Linked DNA regions of Neodiprion lecontei. The protein of the gene in region 2 interacts with the protein of the main gene of each other region in a pairwise test. Links are inferred from orthologs where the notes say so. Each region holds a gene or a part of one and is shown on either strand. Other genes may lie near its edges.

Region 1 (3,539 bases), on a different chromosome or scaffold from region 2:
CGAAATCGACCAGGGCAGCCCCTTAATGTTCCTATAGAACTTAATTTAACTTACAGTGGAAGCATGCGAAGAGCGACTGGAAGTTTGAAAAACTAAGACAGATATGGCTGATGGACCATTTGCTCGATCACAATTCAGTGCCAGACTCGATATTTCCTATAGCTTTGGAATATTTTGAAGGTTGCAAAGGAATGGCAAGGCAACAGCTAGTTAAAAAAATGATGCAAGTAGTAAAGAAAGTCGAGGAACAGGTGGCCAGCAATAAAGATGAAACTGAGGCTACAGCCACTTCGGAATACCTGAGAGCTAGACAAATCCTTCAAGCACTCCCCACAGAGGCTTGAAAGATGATACAAGATTTTTACTTTTTATTGAAACTTTTAGGCCTATGGGGGCTCTTATACTATTTGGTAAATTTTTTTTATACCAGATATTGATAGCAGTGACGTAATTTTTTTGACTACCTAATTTCACACATATTTATTTTTATCGGTAATGAGTGAGTGAATGTGAGTGAAAATCTAGTTGCGATAGTTTATTCTTTTTTCCTTTTCTTTTAATAACGTAACATATAATGTTGATGTGTATAATCATTAAATAAATTCATATACATTGTTTACAATAGCTAATTACATTTAGTCATATGAAAAGCCAGAGCATTTTTAAGGACTACGGTTTAAAAGAATTTACGCATTTATTAATGATGATTATTTTGCATCAGCATACTTATTGACGAACTGTCGTAGTTTATCCGTATCTTGAAGTCCAACTATTCTCTCCAGAACCTTACCATCCTTCATAGCAATGAGGACCGGGACGGATTCAACCTATTTTTTTTTTGAGCGGGTGATAGCAAAACGTATGAGTATAATTCATCGCTTCAAACTAGTGTAAATAAATACATTGAGGTAAAAACTTGACCAAACCTCGTAGTCCAAGGCAAGATCGGTGTTTTCGTCAATATCAACTTTGGCCAGTACAATTTTTCCTTGCTTTTCGGCAATTACAGATTCTAATCTGGGTGTCAGCATTCGGCACGGATTACACCATCTGTTCAAAAACAAATTGAAATAAGTGAGTTGATATGAAGTGCATTTTGGTTTGCAACTGTTGCACTCTCAGAGGTTTCTTCTTAACCAAAAACTTAAGCTCCATACAATTTTAAAATCAACTGCATATATGATGTGGCAATAATTATATCCAACATAACACGATTAGGTGATGTTGGAATTATTCTCAGAGTATCACAAGGAAATTTTGATTGCGCTACGAATCAACAAATTGAATTTGACATGTAATCAGGAAATAATTCTTTAGACAGCAGTTAATTTGAGTTTCCTAGATCACGAGTTTTAGATTCTTAGTCGAATTCCCTGATTTCTAGACTCTCAAGGTTTAAACGACCTTGATTTTTAATGCTTCCATAACCTAAAACCCAGGGAAGACATGAGACTGTCCTGAGGGACTTACGTCGCGAAGAAGTCGATGATCACCGGGATTTTCGAGTTCTTAACGCGGTCGTTGAAATCCTTTGGATCTTGAACAGTGAAAGCAGCCTGAACGGCGGGTTCTTGAGCCGGAGCATTTGCAAAGCCTCGTTTGACAGCGTTACACAAGATCCTGGTTCCACCGCGTAGCATGTTTTAGCCTAGAAATAAAATATGATGTGACGATCAACTTAGTATGCGATTAATTGATAATGGCAGGTGATCGCTGCCAAGTATTCTATCGAGTAATTTGAAATGTATCGGTATTTGTCTACGAGACGCATCAAATCACCTGAGTTCTTGATTGAATCTGAACGATGAATAATGCGATTTGCGGGTTGGATCCCTGACACTGCTACCAACATTTCGCCATCGTGAAAATAAAGTAATTTCTTACGTAACCATTTTTGAAGTTTGGAGGAAATTCTACTGTTAATTTAAAAAAAAAAGAAGCTTTAGATTAAACAAATAATCGAGAAGTACGCCGTCCTGGAATAAATATTTTCCTTAATTTGTTCATTAATATTTAGGTATATCTATAGAATTTTGTTACTTGAACATTTGTTTTTATTTTAATTGTATATCTATAAGTTATATTCTTATTGAAATTTGATTATGTAAGCACGTGGAATAGTTCGAGATTTTTTATCATCCAACGAGCGGCAGGGTGGCGGGAAGACGGGTGAGGCCGCAACCGTCCGCTTGCTAACTTGGGGTTCCGAATATTCTTATAAATCACATACTAAATACGAAACACGGACTTCGAAATTTTCTTTTCCATTCCATTTTCATTCTTGATAATACCGGAATTATTTCTCTGGAAATTACTGAAATCTTAGCTTATATATATATATATATATATACACACGCACACACACACACACATATATACCTATATATAGCTGGTCTTGTAATCTCTAATAAATAAAATAATCTACTTTAATCGAGTCTTCGGATTTGCAGGAATTTGGAGAAGCAAGGAATTGAAAAAAGTAAAAATAATTTGACTGAGCAATAATAATTATAATTCATAATAGGAACAAAAAACTTTGTTTGCCTCGTTACTGGTAGGAATATTAAACATTAGTCAGTAATCGTCTTTGTATTCGGTTGTGCTTAATCCAACACTGCTTAAGTCCTATCCATAATTCTCTAAAGCCACCTTTAGTCCCTCCTCGTTTCTTGCTGTAAATATTCAAGTAGATTCCAAGAACGACGATCAGGCCAGACCACACATATTGGAAGGTGAATGGTTTGTAAAAGAACATAAAGCTAATCAAAATCGATATCGCTTTTCTGCATGTCGTAACAGTTGCTGCAACGAATGCTCCGCAGCATTGGACCAGAGTCAAAACAATCTGTATACCCAAGTAACCGGACAGTGAAAAGAGCAGGCCAAGTCCATACGTTTCAATAGGATGCTGAAACAAGTAATAATATATATAAAAATGAACCAAAAAGAGTAACAACATCCACAACAATCTTTAAATTGGGTTGAATGTTTTTTTACCTCGGCACAGAAAGAAGCACCCGTCTGTAGGTCGGATATTGTCAACAGTATCAGGAATAAGTAGACGAATCCAATGCTGTATGAGAATAGGACAACCTCAGTGTTCGACGCCTTGTGCTCGCGCATGGCCTTCTCCTGAATGTTTCCTATAGCCGCATCACATAACAGGGCGCAACTGATCATCATGATGCCGACTGGATCGAATCGAGGGGAAATTATACTGTCGGCAACTGTGAAGAGCGCTAAGCCTATGCACATCAGAATTGCAGCGAGAAAATCCAAGGGGCCGTATTTTTTGCCCTGTATCAAGATACTGCCTATTAGGACTGGGACTAGCTTGCAGCATTTGAATATCACCTAAAGGACATAATTCACAAACGTTTTATAAAGTTAATTGTTATTTGCTTTGCAATCACAAAATTGTTAGATGATTATTTCTCTCAAAAAATAGTCAAATATGCCAATATTCGATAAAACATTTGATACAATATTTCACTGAAAAAAGAGTTACTATTATCATAAATTCTTTCAGCAGTTGAGTT
Region 2 (8,017 bases):
ACCCTTGACGAAAGACATCCTAAAAATAAGAATTCAAGTTGAGATTGTGAGCTCGACTGGAATTATTGAAAGTGGGGTTTTCTCTGCTACTAATAAAGACAAAATAGGTAGAACAGGTCTTCTCGGCCCACCTAATAGTGCACATTTTGGTCAACTCGTAGACGGCCTCAAATCCGTGATTAACGCTTTGCGAGAGTAGCTGCGCGAACTCCTGATTGTTGAATATCTTCAACGAGCATCCTGGTGGTATTTTGCATACGGTGCTGGGATGAAATCCGTGATGGTGATTACAATTCCTGGACTGTACAAAAATGGCCGAATCGGATAGACACTCGGCGTACACCTCACCGCCTACGTAGTAGAGGTGAACCCCCTTTCCTATGTGCCTCCTGGTGTTCTCTATGGTCGAATTTCTGTTTACATTCGACAACTGCCCAAGGCAAAACCGATCCGAATTGTTACTGGGATTGGTGAATCCGTCGACGATAACGGAGTGCGACTGGCAGTGGAAGACCTCCCCGACTCTGCAGTTCAGCTCGTAGTAGGCTATCGATGCCCAATAGGGTGGCTCCTGGTACGAAACGGGTGCTACCTCGGCGGAGCCACCCGTATCCATCGCCGTGGCGTCAGGAGGCGGCGACTGTCCGTGTTGCGAGCCGTCTTCCGGAGGGGAATAAGCCGGCGGTGGTGTTTCCGGCAGGCCGTTACTACCGTAAGGGCTCTGCGGGTTCGGCGATGTCGTGCTGCCCGGACTGGGCACCGAGCCGACGGAGGAGAGCGGGGACGTCGGGTTCACGCCGACGCCTGTCCCCGAGTTGAAGCCGCTCGACGAGTAGGAGACGTTGTGCGGCATTGTCGGCTCCGGAAGCTGCTGGAAGGGAAGGAGCGAGTGGCCCGGGGCAAACTCGGAGTGTCGGGGGACCAGAACGGGCGGGAGAACCGGACTCTCGACGCGTTTGTAGTGGTACGGGTTGATGCAGACCTCCTTCTGCTTCGCCGAGAAGGGGTACTGGCAGAGCTCGAGGGGCTTGAGCTCGTGGTGCGACTGAAGATCCGGCCACCGCCACACGCGACAGTAGATTACGTGCGGCAGACCCTTCCGGTGCGAGACTTGGAGCCGACCGTCCAGGCTCCGAGGTATCGTCACACACTTGCTCGGCGTCCCAGGGCAGCTCAGAGCTCGCTCGAGTTCCTCGATCGCGCCCTTTCGTTTCTTCAGTTTTTTCACAAGCGAGTCGACCGCCTTCTCGGCCCACTTTTCCTCCTCGTCGCCCTGCTTCCATCCCAGCAGTTTCTTTACCGCCGGACTCGTGAACGAGAACAAACTGTTCAGGGACGACATCGGACCCGAACTCGACGAACCCTCCTCGTCGTCCATCGCGATTTATTACTGGCTCAGAATATTTTCAAAACGGTCGTCGATTCCGGGGTTTGAATCCTGTTCGCGAGTATTAAGACCTCGTCCGTCTCCACCTTCCACCTGAAAACGAAACGGAATTTTTATTTTTTTTTTGTTCAATTCGATTGCTGGTGCATTGTTCGTTGGTATAAAAATTCTTTAGAGAAATTAACAGAATTTTTTCATCTTTCCTCCATAATCCGCCACGATACCAGTTTTAGAGATATCGAAGTTGGACATAAATCACCGCGGTTAGATTTTATATGTTTAGTTTAAGCGTCACGAAACAAATAAATTTTGTTTACATCAGTCACATATTCGGTTGAAAGATAATTTCTTAACTCTAATATGTGTTCATCTATAATCATCGTCTGTTCATAAAATACTACAATTCAATTCATTGGTTGACACGATCTTGCAAAAATATTTGAACTACGGAAAAACAATAGCCAGCTGATGGGGATTGCAGGGTTCAAATTAGTTACGGGTCAGTCAGGTGGAAGAAGGGTCGTCGAGCGTTCTCAGGTAATGAAACCCTGCGGAACAGGTTGAACGAATGCCTGAATTTCAAAGTTTCTGCGAACACTCGATACCTCGATGGTTATTCATTGTGTCTCCAGCGCATTATGTTGGCAAGCCGTTAATTAAGATTCTCGTAACTCCGAAGACCTGGCAATTTTTTCAAATATCTACCGTTCGATTCGTTCACAGATGATAGTAATAATAATAATAATAATAATAGTCTATGAGTGCTCTATTGTCTCATATTATATGAGTGTTTTTTGGTGACGCAGTTGAGTAAACATCTGCAGGCGATCGTGATTAATCATTTGGCTAACCGTCAGCATTTCTTTTACAAATAAATACATATATTCATATAAATATATTTGCGTGATATGTGTAATATTTACATTGCAAACCGAACACCCGAAAAAGATCGTAGAATGTGCAGTACATATTTACCAAAAGTTGTCCGCAATTTAGTGGCGATCCGTAGAATTGAAGAAACTGGTTTTGAAGGATTTGAAATAAAAATTTTACAACGGATTTTTAACGTGATTATATACCCAAAGAGAAAAGTAGCCTATAATTAAACAATTATATAGTCGGCGGTAAGAATAATAGATTTTTTTCTTTCCCCGACGCGGTGATAAACTTTTGATCCACCTGTGATCTATTTTTATTCTTTACACCAAATTAGAATTATATACATTATATGTTTTACACGTTCCAATTGAAGTACGTAATTTCGTGGAGGTTCAAAGTATGGATCTTACGCTCTGCGCGCCGTTTGCGTACTCCGCGTAGCACCGCGCGGTCTGCAGAATCCACTATATTTTATACGCAGAATTTAATGAAACAGGGTTTAATGCAAAGCGTTGGATAGATACGCGTGCGCCTTTCCGCGCGTGTTCGTGTTACGTGTAATATGCGTAAGAGGAACTTATGTACGTACATACGTACATGAATAGAGTAACTGACGTGGCGCGGTAGTAAAAAAAACGGCGCGAAATTACACGCGCAGTGTGTTAGAGGAGCGTATAATAAGAGAGTAGAGTAGAGTATAAGGTTGGCGGGCAAGGGGCGGGCGTAGCAACGTGCTCGTTCACCCTTCCTATCAGTTGCCGTTTTTCCGCTTACAGTGAGTCATTGCACTTGCCGAGCACTTCAACGAAATCAAATGACGATGATAAATGGGCAATAATAAGAATATATTGATAAAACATAATACGAGAAAAGAAAAAGAAATTAACAAACGCATGCGTATATGTACAAACGTATAAATACATGTACACGTACGTCATTCATTACGTTCGGTCATTCAGAGTTTCGGCCGTGCCGTTACGTAGAACACGACTGTTCACCTTCGACGCATCATATTGCTTTGCAACTTTCCAACAAATTGTACTGAAATGAAAAATTTTCGCAAAACTGCGCCAGACGACTCACGCCTGCAAGAATTTTTTCTCTCTCACCCACCTGGTATTATTATTACACGCGGACAGGATGTTGCGACTATAATAATTCGACCGATCGTTCGAAATATAGAGCAAAAGAAATCCCAAACTCTGTATATCTACGAACGGCGATTCGTCAATGGATACCTGTAGGAATTTCGATACAGAGCGCGTCGCACGGTTGCAAATGCAATCTTCTTTGAATGAAACAAAAAAATAAATAAAAAAAAACCAAAACAAAAACGCGAAAGTGATAGAAACGACTCGCTTGTCGCCCCCGTAACTTTACGCCATAGAGCTATGGGGTCTGAACCCTATTGCGTGTAATACAACGCGGCTTAAATGAGACTTGAAAACGAACTCCCGCTGCTTTCGTATACGAATTAACACGTGTTCGTCGATCAGTTTTTCCTTCCTTCCTTCTCCATTGCTGCACCACCACGGTACATATATGTATATGCATACGTGTGTAAGTGTATATGCATATATATATATTTTATATATATATAATCACTACCCGGGGCAAGTGGCAGAGCAGAGCAGAGCGGCACTACAGTTCCGAGAATATTTCTTTCAATCGAATTTCTTTATTTATTCTATTATTATTGCGATCGCCGCCCTACCCTCACCCCTCTTTGATCCGTCGCGCGAGTCTCTTTTTCTCTTTCTCTCCCTCTCTCGCTGTTCTGTAAATTATACATACTTATACATGTAATGTACATATAATAGTGGCAGACTGTTGCGAACGATAAAGAAATTTAATTTTACGTATTATAAAAAAACCAATTACACGGATGTTGTGTACGTTTGATAAATCGCGGTAACGAGTTGTTCGCGTGTATACTTCGGTACGTGTGTGAAAATTGAAAAGTAAACAATAAAATTATCGAATCACAGAAAAAGAAACTGTTTCTTAATTGGTTAATCAATTAATTATTCCATACCTAATCTGTACCGCGTGCAGGGTGAAATCGTGGGTCAAGACGGTCAGATCTCGGAGGTAAAAGATTTGGTCAGCGAGAATAAATAAACATGAAAAAGCGTAAGACACAAATTGAAAAAACAAGTGACAGGCTTTAAAATTCATATTGGAATTATCCGATTCGAGGGACGTGGATATTTGTTCTTAGCATTCGGAAATCGGTAATTAGTTTCGAGATGTATACCAATGTAATTTGCATCGTTTCATTGTTCGGATACATATTATATACGTTGCAGGGTGAAAGTGATAGCACTTAGAAACTTGTTGGGACGAAAAATTGAAATAAATTTACACTTCGACGGAGAAAGAAAGAAAAAAAAGATAAAAAAAACAACAACAACAACGACAACCCTGTGGAATATTCTACGTAAGAGAATGAATGTATGAATGAATCGAGTTGTGTGGCAATTCGTGACATGTAACATTTACTCACGTTCTCTCCGCGAATGCGAGTTGCTGGTTTTTCTCCTTCGACGATTAAGTTGGCGAAAGGACGGGGTTCCGAGAAGCACCTCGAGTAAAGATACGTCACTGTCAATTGCAACGAGTCAGAGTGCGTGCGGCGAGCGTTTGTTGTTTGTTGGCGGTTACTCGTAGCGTAAATCTCCCAACGTTCTCCTCAGGATCCGACGATCCCCTGCTTTAAGGGCGATTGAAAATAAAAAGAAGAAGAATGTAAGAAGAAGCGAATAGTGAGAAAAATTGCAAAAGTAAACGCAAAGTTAAGTAAGTTGCGGCGAAGGTAAAGTAATATTGAAATGAGAAGAATCAAACAAAAAAATAGAAAAAAGAAGGATGCGAAACAAAACAACGCCGGGGAATAAAATCACTCACTTCGTGTATATGCGTGTATTTCGTAACGAGGATCGACGCAGGCTCGATAATCCCCCGGAATCGATCTAAACTCTCGTGCGGATCGAGCGAGGCAGGTAGGCGATACGATGCGCCTCGGCTATCGGCGGAATTCGCTCCCCGTCCGTCAGACTGGCCGATATTGTGTGAAATCAGTCGCCGCTGCCCCACGCCAATGTGGGCATGCATGCAGTGGACGGCGCTAGGCTCTCTCGGTCGAAGGAACGAACCGACTACTCCTCGCGAGGCTAGCAGGCTCGCGAGGGGCACAAGCACAAGATTAACCCGCGGTATCGAGCAAGACGACGGTCGTAATTGCTGGCCGAGTTCGGCGAGACTGGTGCGCGCTGTGGAGTACTGGCCGACACGCACGATTAAACACCCGCGTTGCTGAAACGGAAGTTCGGGAAACGATTCACATTTTTGAGCACGTTATTTGTCACTAATGTTTACACACCACCGTCCATGATGTCGCATAGCATTATGGCGGCCGTGTTTACGGGCGACGCGCGTCACTGCCTCGACTGCCTGCTGATGCTGCCGCCGCCGCTGCTCGAAGGCTCAAACAGGCAGAGCCATAGCCAGAGCTACCGGCGCCCCCGGTGACCGAGAACAGAGGCGATCCCAACCACTAACCCAACGGTCGACGACACGCGCGCACCGCCGACGCACGTCACTCGACAATCGCGTGTGCGCCGCGCTCGCACCAATTCTCATTACAACGCGATCGAATCCCCCCTTTTCACATCTCATTCGGCTCTTCTCTGGCTAATCGAATATCCGCACGGGTTGCGCTTGCTTCAGACCCTCCCCGCAAACCGCATTCAGCTACTGCAGCTACTGCAGCAGCTGCAGCAGCTAGTCGTTCGCGGATCTCGACGATGTCTGGCGACTCCGTTGTGAAACGGGAAACTGATTGACTGGTTCGATTGATTTATGTAGGCATTCTCTGGGTGTTCAACGTCGCTGATAATTACGAGGTTGACGAAAAAACTTAGACTGTTATCCCAGGGGCATATTTTCGTGACCATTGATCGGCAGGTAAGTGGGCCTGAGGCGTTGAGAAGCCGTGTTTAAAACGATACGGTAGCTTCTTTATCGGCGGGAGGCGTTCAACACGCAATCCCATCATCGCACGAATACCCCATTAGGGTAACCGTCTTTGATAGCCTTCGGTCAAGGACTGATATTTTGAGTCGAAGAGGAAATTGCCATGCTCGCAAAACGTTTCCGCACGTTTTAGGCATGCAAGAAACCACTGTTTTATCTCGGTCGGGCTGACCTTGTTTTGTAAATTCATCGACGGCGTTTCAGGATGATTCCAATTGGTAGGGCATGTATGTAAAGATGATGATAAGGTATTCAGGGCCTTATCGCTCGCCTTGCTGCACTAACGGAGTCCCCCGAAACTCCGAAATGGGACGTCATACCGTAAGATCAACTCTGCAAAGAGAACGCAATTTCTGCATTTATTTTTGGCAATTGCATGCTATTTTTGCCTATGCTATATTTTGACAACACAATGCAACGCATTTACAAGATCAGAGGCATAATAAGAACAAATATGTGTATACAATATTTTAATTATCAATAGATATAGATAATGTTGTTATATATGCATGTAGTATGTTTACATTATGTATTTATATTTATTATCTTTATTGGAATAAATAATAAGCGGTTGTACTTTACTTTTCAGCACAATTCAAGATAAAGTATCGCAATCAATATTTGCCTAAAAAAAAAAAAAAAAAAAAATGGCTACGTACGACGATGAATATGATGGCTTTTCCTGTTGAAGTTTCATGTTAAAATTTGGAAAGATCACCTGGTATTTACACCTGATTCCTCGATTATCTTGAAACACGACACTTTTTGTCTCCCCTCGCAACATGTATTCAGGTGATGGAGGAATCGGATGTTAATGCCAAATGTAGCGTATGCGTTACAGAACTTGCCTTCATGGGCTAGTAAATTAAAATTTTTTTGTCTTATTTTTATTATTAGATACGTTATGAACTATTTCATAGTATATTTTCCGTTTTTCACATAATTAGTATTTATTTATTTTTTCCTTTTCTCTTTCCTGTAATATCCTTACTCATCATTTGGTTAGTCGTCACCCGATAGATTGCTTGTATGCATACCCATCAACATATAAAAAGTCTACCACTTGCGAGTTTACGTGGAGAAGACGAAAAATTATGCAACGAGGTTGAAAAGAATAATAAAATAAATACAGGAATACTTGAAAGAGATAAGTAAAATTACAATTTATAGACAGCATGGTACCATCTTGGGGTACATAATTTATACACGGAAATATGTAAACTTTGGAACGAATTTAGCAATATAGTAAATAAAACTATTCGTAGTAAAGTACAATGCGACAATATTTATTATTCCTTTTAGCTCAATTATTTACCGATACAAAAAACTTGCCCAATTTCAGACATTGGGAAATTCGTAATTCGTATTTGCAGATTTTTCTGAAAAATCGAGAAAAGGTATTTGACCGATTTGACTAGCAAATCGCATCACAATACAATATAATAGACAAAACAGCAAAGGCAAGCACTCGCTGGAGTCGAAAACCTCATTCACCCAATTGTATGTAGAATACGATAAAAATTGTAAAATTAACGTATCATTAACTAAATGTAAAGCCGTCTTCATCGTAATGAAGGAACACAGCGATGATAGAATGTTATATTGTATTACGTTGTTATCTTCTAAGGCGGGTACAGCTGGTAAATTCTTATAGATATTGTTGGCTGTTCCATTCCCCTGTCTTTTTCAATGTATTGCTACAAGTCCGGATTCAAG

What was found.
Region 1: the proteins of protein mothers against dpp (region 2) and thioredoxin, mitochondrial interact in a two-hybrid assay, tested with the Drosophila melanogaster proteins (2 studies listed by BioGRID). The link is inferred for Neodiprion lecontei from reciprocal best matches to the Drosophila melanogaster genes Mad and CG8993.

What each region holds. Positions count from the first base shown.
Region 1 is NC_060264.1:29,028,007-29,031,545, forward strand, and holds thioredoxin, mitochondrial, read right to left. Parts: upstream 1,909-3,539; 5' UTR 1,780-1,908; intron 1,649-1,779; 5' UTR 1,641-1,648; coding exon 1,471-1,640; intron 1,051-1,470; coding exon 927-1,050; intron 828-926; coding exon 708-827; 3' UTR 523-707; downstream 1-522. Other genes in the region: uncharacterized protein C7orf50 homolog, read left to right, coding at 57-344; adenosine 3'-phospho 5'-phosphosulfate transporter 2, read right to left, coding at 2,564-2,908, 2,998-3,354.
Region 2 is NC_060262.1:38,138,918-38,146,934, forward strand, and holds the start of protein mothers against dpp, read right to left. Parts: upstream 6,044-8,017; 5' UTR 5,174-6,043; intron 4,980-5,173; exon of another isoform or gene 4,977-4,979; 5' UTR 4,773-4,976; intron 1,481-4,772; 5' UTR 1,379-1,480; coding exon 132-1,378; intron 20-131; coding exon 1-19. Other genes in the region: stress-induced-phosphoprotein 1, read right to left, coding at 7,988-8,017.